Oryctolagus cuniculus: one gene and its partner. The protein of the gene in region 1 binds, or shares a complex with, the protein of each later gene. Links are inferred from orthologs where the notes say so. Each region holds a gene or a part of one and is shown on either strand. Other genes may lie near its edges.

Region 1 (5,858 bases):
TTTCTTTAAGCCTTCATATACTCAATCTAACCTATACACGTTTAGAAACACCCAGATTAAAAACAATGCTGTATGATATAGGAAAACCATTCCACATTGCTTCCTTTCTCATCCTTTGTTTCCTTATTCCCAATTCCTTGCTTTCAATGAATATACTTGTGGCAAAAGCACCTAGTATCTTCATCTATAATTCCTAAATTTTAAGATTTTAAAACTTTTTTTTTTTGACAGGCAGAGTGGACAGTGAGAGAGAGAGAGACAGAGAGAAAGGTCTCCCTTTGCCGTTGGTTCACCCTCCAATGGCCGCCGCGGCCGGCGCACCGCGCTGATCCGATGGCAGGAGCCAGGTACTTCTCCTGGTCTCCCATGGGGTGCAGGGTCCAAGCACTTGGGCCATCCTCCACTGCACTCCCTGGCCACAGCAGAGAGCTAGCCTGGAAGAGGGGCAACCAGGACAGAATCCGGTGCCCCGACCGGGACTAGAACCCGGGGTGCCAGCGCCGCAGGCGGAGGATTAGCCTAGTGAACCGCGGCGCCAGCCTGCTTATATATTTTTACAAATACTCCTAATTTGGATAAGCTTAGAGGAACAAATAAAACTGTGTTCTGGAAGTGTTAATGGCCAGAAAATTCAATCAAACTTGGAAAATCATACTAAACTGGGTTAACTACCATCTAAGGCTCTAAGTACAGCTTTCCAATAAAATATGCTTACTGTTGCCACCTGACGTCCTAAGTAGCTGCTACATCTTGAGCCTGAAATTCCCTGTTACAGTCTACTAGATTCATTCATCTTTAAGCTACATACCCAACTATTCAATATAAAATAAATTTTGTCTATATAGCAAAACAAAAAGGTAATCCAAATTTAATGAACGTATTAGCACTTATCGTTGACAAGTATTATTTACAAACATAAAAGGCCTATCGTTCACGTTTTGCAAGATAATAGTTCTCCCTCTACTGGCAAACTGACATAGTAGTTTCTACTAGCATAAACATGACACAGTAACCAGCTGCACACTTTCTACATACTCAAATAGCTGAATAAATATTTGTGAAATGATATACCATAAGGAAACCATCTTTCACTTAATGACTACTAAAAATTTTTTCTTCTATTTCATTAAACAGCCCAAATATGAATACACTACATCATTTCAAAAAAAGAACCAGGAAAATTAGTTTGATGATATAAATTCCTTGAAATATCTTTCTGATTAATTATATTACCATACCACATTTTCATGAAATCACATATTTTTTCAAAATGTTGATTTCTATAGCACACAGCACCATTAGAAAAATCAAAACTATTTTTACTGAGTATCTTCGAATTGGGAATTACCCAGTTTTAAACAAACAGGGATAAAAGAGCTCCCATAAAACACCTTTTGGTACTTTTTAAACAGAAAATTACGTAATTTTATGAAGCTTAATGCTGAAATACCAAGTTAAACTTTAGATCTGCTGCTAAATACAATATATAAGAAACTAAATAAAATATCTGTCTTGTTCAAGTCTTCAATAAACTTCAAGTTGTTAATATACAACATACCCAGGCAAGATCCCTATCTGAGTTAGAAGACGCAAAGCCAATCAAAGTGCTACACTATGAGTCTTACCATGTTTGATGCATTCATGTGCTGTATCAGCTTAGAATCAGGAACAATAACTTGAGGTGCCGTGGCTACAAAATAATTAAATCAAATAAACACACATGGAAACAAGGAACCCTAAGGCTATTTCATAATCACAAGTATGTTATTTAATGCTGAAAACTTTTTCTGCATTTAAATGCCCTCAACCCCTTGATACTTCAAAATGTTATACATTTTACAGCATTTAAAGCTCTAGTATAACTGTATCATAACAGAAAACATCAATATTTAAGTATTTAAGTGATAAATTTGAAGGTTGCAAAGGAATTCAGTAAGATGAGGAAATGAAATACTTATCACAACAGCTACTAATTCATTAGGAACAAAATTCAGTTATAACTACTTTTTTTAATCTACAATCCTTTTCTCCCAATTTGACAGTTGCTAGGATGTTACTAATTGTTCGAAAAGTAGAAATTGAAAATAATGGTGATGTTACTTAAGTGTAAAAGGCATTAAATGTTTGATTCCGCAAATTTCAGAGAACAGACAGACAATCCCATTATCCACATAATCTCTGAGTGAAGAAAATCAAATTTTAATTTATGATGACCTAAAATCCTAATGCCAGGCTTGAAAGCATTAGGAGGAACAGTCATCAGAAAAGATTAAGAGTTAAAAATATTTGATAACAAAGGATAGATTTAAAGCAGATATTAAATCTTACTTTATATAAACAGCAAAACAACCCAAAAAGACCTTTCCACTGTGTATCACTATCATTTTTTTCACTTTTTTTAAAAGAATTATGTATGTATATATGTATATATTTGAAAGAGAGAGAGAGAAAAAAAAACAGAGAGAGACTGTGAATTCACTGTTCACTCCTCAAATGCCTACAATAGCCAGGGTTGAACAAGACTGAAATCATGAACCTAAAACTCCATCCAGATTTCTCAAGTGGGTGGCGGGGACTTAAGTACTTGGGCCATTATCTCCTGCCTTTTCAGGTGCATTAGCTGGAAGCTGGATCAGAAGCAGAGCAGTCAGTCAGAACTTCAACCAGTACTCTGATGTGGTATGCAGGCATTAAAAGCAGCAGTTTAACCTGGCTGCTCCACAATGCTTGCCCTTCACTATCAATTTCAAGTCATACACATATATATGTAGGTTAACTAAATGGTTACCTTAAAACAAGCTTTTCATTTACCTTCTTCTCCAATAACAATCAAGATTCACTGAATTAGAATACTTAGTAAGTTTTTAATTGAACATAGTTGTTATGACAGAAAATATTTGCTACATATAATGGATCATGCTTCTCAGCCTTTTTAAGGCCCAGATTTGCCTCAGCTATGAAGCAATGGAGCTAAGAACTATTTCATAGAGTTCCTAAAAGGAGTCAAAATGAAGCCTCATCTTTCTTAGGAGATAGCAGGTGATGACTCAAGTACTTAGGCACCCGCCACCCATAAGAGAGAACTGGATTGAGTTCCAAGCTCCTGGTTTCAGGCTGTCCCAGCCCACACTGTTGCAGGCATTTGGACAATAAACCAGTAGATAGAAGGATCTCTCTCTCCCTTTCTCTCTCTCAGCCTTTCAGTTAAAAATAAATGAAAAACAAATAGTTTTGCATTGTGCATTGTTCATACCTTTAAACAGAGTAATAATATACATCAAGATATATAGATCAACTATTCACATAAAAGAAATTTAATTGTTAATTTAGACACAGAAATTACCATGGTACTGAATTTTCAGAATGCCAACATATGGTTCAAAACTCAGGATTTAAGACATAAAAACAACACCAATATCCCTTTGAAGGAAAATGTTTCATGAAGAAATAACTACTTTACTATATAAAACAATGAAATCTTAGTTAAAAAAAAATTATAAATCTGACTTAAATTTTAGGAAAGCCACCACTATATGTACTTCCTAAAAAACATTAGTACAAGTATCTGAATACTATTTTAGGGTTTCAATCAGGTAATTATTTGTCTATCACTATTCTACAAATAGGACTCACATTTTATACAAATTTATATACATAAAAACATACATAGAAAAGGGAAAAACAAAATCAGTACTTTTTTTTTTAGGTTTATGAAATACCTTTTAAAAACAAGATCCAAGTGACCTAGAGTATTTCTAGTCTTTTAAAATGACCAACTTAATTTCCAAGTAGTTAGGAAAACAGATCTAGTCTCACCTTGCTGTGATGCAGGAATAAGGACCTGCTGGGTCTGGGCTTGCTGAGGTACTGTCTGCTGAGGCTGAGCTTGCTGATGGTGGTGGTGGTGGTGATGCTGTTGCTGCTGGGGTTGATGTTGCTGTTGAACTTGCAATAAAAGTTGTTGCTCTTCTGAATGAAATCCATCTACTGCTCTAGACTGCATTAGTTTATTCTCCCACAACTAATGCAAACAACATTAAAAGTTTAAAAATGAAAAAATAACTCAATACATGGTCAAACATATTTTTACTAGCTATTTATGGAATTCTTCCATTTAAAAACTTACATAGCACAAAAATATAACCTCAAATCTCATCTAAGTGCAAAGGATAATGAAAACAATTTTTTAAAGTATCAAACTTCCTCTTTGCCACTTTAGCAACCTAAAGAAATTTTTGTTTTTATCTTCAACCATCTTTTCATAGCAACTCTTTAATCATCAGCTATTATATAGCACAGAGTTTCAGAAAAAGATTATCCTTTGTAGTATCAGAACCATTATGAAACTATCTTTATGGAATTCTTCTCTTCAAGAATTTTATTTATTTGAAAGGCACAGTGACAGAGACAGAGATCTTCTATCTACTGATTCACTACCCAACTGGCAGTAATGGCCAGGACTGGACCAGGCCTAAGCCAGAATCCTGGAACTCTATCCAGGTCTCCCGCATAGGTGGCATGGGTCATCTTCACTGCTTTCCCACGTGCACTAGCAGTGAGCTGGATTGGAGGCAGAGCAGCTGGGATTCCAATCAGCGCTCTGATTTGGGATTCTGGTATTGCAGGCAGGGGCTTAAACCAATGCACCACAATCCTTCACAGTACTCAGAAACTCTGTTGTTTGCCCCCTTTAAAAAAAAAAAAAAAAAGATTTATTTATTTATTTGAAAGGCAGAGTTACAGAAAAAGAGGGAGACACAGAGAGAAGGATTTTCCATACACTGGATCACTCCCTAAGTGACTGCAACAGCCAGGGCAGGATGAAGCCAGGAACCAGGAGCTTCATCCAAGTCTCCCATGTGGGAGGCAGGGGCCCAAGCACGTGGGCCATTCTCTGCTGCTTTCCCAGGCATTTTAGCTTGAAGCGGGATCTGAGATGGAACATCCATGACATGAACAAGAGCTCATACAGGCCCCCAGCATTGGAGGCAGCAACACACCACAACAATGACCCAAGGAACTCTTCTGTCAATTCTAAGTAAAGAAAAAACAAACAGCATACTTGAACGTCTTAGAGAGATTTTTTGCCCAACCCTCTACACTAATGAAATTTCTCTTTTTCCATTATGCCAAGGGATAGATCTTTTCTGTGGAGCCATTTCTACAGATTGAGCTTACCTAATCTAAAAATCAAAACAAGCCAAAATCTGAAACTTTGTGAGCATAAACATTATACTACAAATGGAAAATCCATTCTTTGTTTATTGCACAAAATTACTTAAAATATTGGATAAAATTACTTTCAGGCTACATGTATGATGTGTATATAAAATATAAATGATTGCGGCCAAATCATTTATCTTTCTTAGGCATTTTTCTCAAGAAAAAGTGGATAAATGGAATTACATTACATCTAAATTCAATTTCAGTTAATAAATCTAAGTCTCTTCAAATCCTAGATTAAACACTGTTATCATCTTGTTGTGGTTACAAAGCATGACTTTTTGAGAGCCCAGACTATGCCTTGTTCACCTTAGCAAAGTAGGCATGTGTAGCACATGGTCAAAATAACCACTTATGAGTCAAAAAAGTATGAACATAAAGTAAGGCTTTTACTCTGCCATCACTCAAACCTACATCTATTCTCCTCTTCCAAAACAATACCTAGTTTCCTGTGAGCTAAAAATAATAAAATTAAAAAACAGTATTATTAATGCCTTGTTAAGAAACAGTTTTTAATGTTTGACTTCTATCACCTCCAATTGGTCTATACACTGCAATGTGGCTTTCATGAGCATGACAAATATTAATGAGTGCCTATGATATATGGCTTAGTGTTAGGTACTATAACTCACCTA
Region 2 (5,484 bases), on another chromosome or scaffold:
AGTGGAGAGCCCCTTTCTCGTAACCAGAGGGCATGTGCACACAGCACTACTTTAGTTCAGTGGTGAGCAGCAGCGGCCCCTCGGCTGATGACTGAGCCTGCGGCAGATGCCATGCACTAAGACCCCGCCCCCCGTGCGACCAGGTCTCACCTCTCGGGCTTGCCGTTGGGGTCATAGGGAGCCTGAGACTCATCCTCATCCAGCTCGGAGTACTCGCTCTTTGGCCTGAGGTCAGAGAAGCAGAGGCTGCTGTTCCCAGACCGCCTGCCCCACCTCCGGCACCAGCAGCCCTCTGCACACCCGCCTTCCCCCTGGAGCATACCATTCCTCGGGCTTGGGGTACACCGTGTGCCTCAGGGCATTGTCTGGATCGTACTCGAAAGCAACCCCCGCGGTGGGGTTCCACTTGGCGTGTTCCTTGCCAAAGCCCTTTTTGGCGTAGGCTCGGAGTCTCAGCTCCTGGCCCTTTCTCAGCTTGACGATGAGGATGTCTGCGAGGAGAGGTGCGAGTCAGTCCCGGCCAGGAGCGTGGCTCTCCCCGCGTGGACCGACAGTGCCGCTGAGGGTGACACGCGACGCAAACACGGGCCCTCGGCCACTTTACACGAGTTCGGGCGGCAGGAGAGGCTCTATCAAAGGTGACGCACGCACGCTCTCCAGCCCTTACCGTCCTGCTCCACGTAGTCGTTGGGGTCATTGTCTCGATTCCGGGACGTCACCTGTAGGGAGCCCAAACCCAGGCAATTGTCAGCTGCTCCTCCCACAGCACCTCCAGACTGCACTCTGCGCAAGCGCGGGATGCGAGAGGGGCCGGCGGAGGGGCCTGCTCCATGGTGTGGTCAAGACCCCGGCCTCTCGGAGGGCCCTTGGGTGACGGACACAAAGAAAACCTAAACTGCATCATCAGCGGCCGCTTCTCTCACCCCAGCAGCTGCCAGCCCCAGTGCTGCTGCTGCCCGAGCAGAAACCAGCACCAGGCTGGTAGGCATCAGACCGGGACCCGAGCCCTCCGGCCGCCAAAGCCGGCCACGGCAGAGCCCCGGGGGAGGGGGCGCTCCAGACACTGACCGGGATGACGCGGGGGCTGTTGGAGATGAGGTCTCGGGACGTGACGTGGCGAGTCTGGTCTTCGTTACACCGCACGTCCAGGGTGAACTCCACCGAGCACTCGGGGCAGAACTCCTCACAGGTGCAGTCCTGAGCGGAGAGGGAAGCTGGAAGGAGCCCACGGAGAGCCGGGAAGCCCCACAGCTGCCTGCTCGGCCCGCTCCCTGAGCCGCTGCCTGCGTGCAGGGGGTGCTGCTCTTGTGAGACAGCGCCCAGCCCCTCTGCTCCTTGCCCGCACCTACACCAACCTCTGTGCCTCTGCCCCCCGACCCCGGGGCAGGGGTGGTGGTGGTGCTGTGGAAGCAACAGCCCCTGTGCTGCACAGGCAGGCCCCCTGGTGGCTGCCCCTCTGTGGGACTGGCTCCTGAGACTTCCAGACGGACATAACCAATGGGATCCTCATCAGCACCAAGCCCAAAGACACCTGCCTCGGGCTCTGGACAACATCTCCGCCGTCTCCCTACAACCACGGCGCAGTCCATGCTGGCAGCCAGATGCCAAGGACAAGTCCTGTGGGCCCTTAAGCCCCTACCCGAGCCACACACAGCCACTCTCGCAGCATACCCGGGAGTTCTGCAACTTGTCCACGATGTCGTCGCTCGTGAGAGGAATCAAGCCTGTAAGACACAGACCCGCGCTTTCAAGGCAGCCAGACAGCCATGCCCAAAACGAGAGCCCACAGGCGCCCCGCGGTGGGGAGGCCTCCTGCGGCATCGGCCGCACCGTCCCTTCACCTCCCCCAGAGCAGCACTCACCGAGCCGGTGCGCGATGAACTCGTCATGCAGGACGGAGGAGTTGGCATCGATCTGAACCCAGTCAATGGCTAAAACGAGAAGGGGCGGAGGTGAGACTTCATTCAGCAACCAAATTCCCCAAAGCTCAGGGCAGTGAGTGCCAAGATTCAGGAATGCCCGGGCCGGGCCAGGCCGGGCGGCCGGGGACTGACTGCAGCAGCACCGGGCAGGGCTCAGGCACCACGCAGGCACCGCGGCCCCTGCCCGCCCGGGGGGGAGTTCAGGCAGGGGCTTCCTGGACCACACGGGAACGCCGGCTCAGAGCGCCTCACCGCAGCAGGCACACCTGCTGCCGATTTCTGTGAGAAGCCAATGTATCTGCCACCTGTGCCAGTGCCAAACAGCCAGGAACACAAACGATTCAGCCACTGCGATGAGGGAAACTCACGAACAACGAACAGGCCGACAGCAGGAACCGCGTCTTAGGATGTAACGCTGGCCCACCCAACGAGCATTTCCTCATCACTCAGCCGACACAGGTTACTGCGTCCTGTCAGGAACCAGGCAGCTTACAGAGAAACCGGTCCTTGCCAGCAACGAGCTGGCAGCACGGTGAGGACTGTCTCACACCCACGTGACTTCAACCCCACTTTACTCACTCATTCATACAAACGCCGAAATCAAACAGGGCTGCTGCCCAGCTGCCAGGGGGGGCATGGCCGCTGGGAGCAGAGGTCAGAAGGGGACCAGTCGTCTCAGGCCCCAACCCAGGCCCCTCTGCCTCTTCACGTACCCCCGGACCCCGGCTGCTTCCTGGCCCGCACTTTCCTTCCTCGTGCAGCTCCAAATCCCCCGAGCCTAAAACCCGAGTCCCGCCTGCGCTTCAGACTGAGCCGTGAGCACCCCCGGCCTCTGAACCCCGCTCGGACAAGGCCAGCTCTGACTCCCCTTAGCACAGCGGTCATGCTTTGCTCAGTGTCGGATTTGTGTCTCATCCCCACCGCAGGCTTGGAGAATTCCTTGAGGCCGGGTCTGAGCTGCCTTTGTTTGCCCAGCATGGGTGCGCATTTGCAGAGCTGAGAATGTGAAAAGCGGGGCCCACCGAGGCCCAGCGGGGCTGAGGCGACGGGGGGCGGAGGCGGCGGCTTTAGCAAGCAGCTGGTGTGTGCCGCTTCCTTCAGAGTCTGAACACTTGATGCAGCAGCCACAACATCTCTTTTGCCAAACGCAAACTCACTGAGCTGACACAAAACACCCCTGGTATTTTACACAAGCACAGTCAACGCAGAAAACACTGGGGCACAGAGGCCAGAGGCCCTCCCACCCCTGCGGGCCGCTGCTGCGAGGTCCTCGAGCCCCGTGCACATCCATCAGAATCGCTCACTCACTGGTCCCCGCCGTCGGCCTGGTGAGTAACACCAGCGTCCAATGTCTCCGATGAGAACCAGCAGCACACAGAAGGGTCACGACTTGCCTAAGTTCCACCGAGCGCGCGCGTGGAAACCGCATCGGAGCCCAGGGCAGCCCCTGCCGAACCCGTGCTGCTCCGCGAGGCACACGGCAGGGGGGCCGAAGTGGCCAACGGGGCAGCCGGGCCAGAGGCACCGGGTGCGACCCAGCCTCGGCACCTCCACCCCCAAGCCAGGCCTGGAGGCGGCACAGGTGCGTGGGGCCTTGGGAAGCCGGGGAACCAGTGGTCCCGGTAGGGTGCGGCGGGGCTCGCTTACCTATTATAGGCACCTCCGCGATGAAGACCCTCCGGATAGAATTGGCCACCCTGAAGGACGAGAAAGCGAGAGGCGTGAGGGCGCCGCAGCCCCGACAGGCCGGCCCCGGGCTCCCAAAGCTAAAGCCCTGGCACGGTGGCCGCCGTGGGAGGGCACCCCCACCCTTCGGGCCGGCTCGGCAGGGCCGCCAGCCTCTCCCCTCAGCAGCCTTACGCCAGGTCCGTATTCTCGATGATGAACTTGACGTTCTCGTCAGTGAGCTCGGTGATGCGCACCGTGGGCTGATTAGCGTACGGCATCGCGCCCCTGAGGCCTCCTAGCCGGCCCCTCGCGTCGCCCCCGTCGCGCCTGCGCGGCTCTGTCACCGGAAGCCGGACAGCGCGGCCCCCGCAGCTTCCGCCGAGACGCGCGAGCAGCGCCCCCTGCCGCTGGGAGGCTGCGGCTGCACCATGGCCCGCATTTTCTACTCCCCACCCCACCACCAGTCTCACCCAACTTGCAAGGTAACTTGGCAAGACCTGCATATGCCCTTGAATCAACAATAATACGTCTAAAAATTCATTCTGCCAAGATGTTTGCAGTTGTAAACAAAGCTACAGGGACATTCAAGACAGTACTGTAATAGCAAAAGGTAAACAAGACTGGTCTATGCATAGAGACCTGGTTAAATAGATACATATAGGCATACCATGAGGCCTTTGAGGATGATGTGAATTTGAACACCCATGGGAAACAATGCGTGGCAACTTTCAGCAAAGCATCTCTCAATGATGGTGTATGTCCTTCCCTTCCACCCTCAAGTCCGGGTCGCGCACTTGTGGACACTTCCGTAAAAGGCTCTAGAGACCCTAAAATGGAATGTGGCTGCAGTAGAGTACCCAGGAAGGGGTTCACCTTAGCAGCAGGCGCACCTCTTCCTGAGACACAGGAAGGGCAGGAGGCGGTTCTTGCCTGCCTGTCATCTCAGTAGGTTAAGAATTACGGTCATCTCCTGAGTGTAACATGGATGTGATGAATGCGATGAAACGTGGGTAGCTGCTGCAGGAGCCTCACAGGTATCAGGGAGTAACCAGAGAGGCGCGGGGCCCGGGGAAGGCCCACAGGGATCTGAAATGCGTCCACTTCTGACTCCTCTATCAGTATTTGGCAGACGTGGGCCAGAGCAAAGCAGATGTGCAAGGGAGCCCAGGTGGTGCACAGGCTGAGATTACTGACACTGACGAACCTATCACTAAAATGGTGACAGACAAGAGGGGCCAAGGGAGCAAGGTGTCTGGGGAAGGCCCCACTGCCCCCATTTTACTGATGGGAAGACCTGGTTCAGAGGCAGAGTTGTCCAACCCCCCAGCATGTATTAGGCAGAGCCAGGGCCAGAACTCCCGCTGGGGACATCTATCACAGTCTATATGGAAACAAACTACATAAAAGGAAGCAGCCTCAAACATTTATTATAATTTTTACAGGTTCTGAATACACTAACAATCCCGCAGTGCGTGCTGGAGTGATGCGACACCAGGCCTGGGCCACGCCTCTCAGTGTCCAGCAGGCACCTGTCTCTGGGGAGGCAGCTCTCTGAGGGGTCCCCGGGAACATCTCAGGATGCCTGCAGCGTGCTGGCAGTGAGCTGCCACCATCCGGTGGATACCAGCCTTGACTCAGCCTTAGCAGCCCCCAAAACCGTTTCAAGGAAGGTTATGACACAAGGGAGCCCGTGAGACCATGCAGGGACGTGCTGGCTGAGCGCCCGGGGAGTCTCATTTCTCCCATCACAAGCCGCAAGGCAGGATGCACTGAGCGTGGCCAGGTGTCAGGACTGCAGAAGTGGCCCGATCGTCAGGTGCCCTGTGGTCTCCAGGTGGCCGCTGGGGTGTTCAGGAGCCCTCCAGAGTGTCCTGGTTAGCACCCTTAGGTGGAT

The links. The genes of interacting proteins can lie anywhere in the genome.
Region 2: GTF2A1 (region 1) and POLR2C share a complex: the UniProt entries of both Homo sapiens proteins name them as parts of the TBP-based Pol II pre-initiation complex. The link is inferred for Oryctolagus cuniculus from reciprocal best matches to the Homo sapiens genes GTF2A1 and POLR2C.

What each region holds. Positions count from the first base shown.
Region 1 is NC_091451.1:27,039,843-27,045,700, forward strand, and holds part of GTF2A1 (transcription initiation factor IIA subunit 1), read right to left. Parts: intron 4,022-5,858; coding exon 3,817-4,021; intron 2,263-3,816; exon of another isoform or gene 2,119-2,262; intron 1,691-2,118; coding exon 1,626-1,690; intron 1-1,625. UniProt on the Homo sapiens protein: TFIIA is a component of the transcription machinery of RNA polymerase II and plays an important role in transcriptional activation. TFIIA in a complex with TBP mediates transcriptional activity.
Region 2 is NC_091449.1:41,014,566-41,020,049, reverse strand, and holds the start of POLR2C (DNA-directed RNA polymerase II subunit RPB3), read right to left. Parts: upstream 3,959-5,484; 5' UTR 3,869-3,958; coding exon 3,783-3,868; intron 3,620-3,782; coding exon 3,570-3,619; intron 1,932-3,569; coding exon 1,863-1,931; intron 1,725-1,862; coding exon 1,672-1,724; intron 1,198-1,671; coding exon 1,069-1,197; intron 720-1,068; coding exon 668-719; intron 492-667; coding exon 323-491; intron 226-322; coding exon 151-225; intron 1-150. UniProt on the Homo sapiens protein: Core component of RNA polymerase II (Pol II), a DNA-dependent RNA polymerase which synthesizes mRNA precursors and many functional non-coding RNAs using the four ribonucleoside triphosphates as substrates.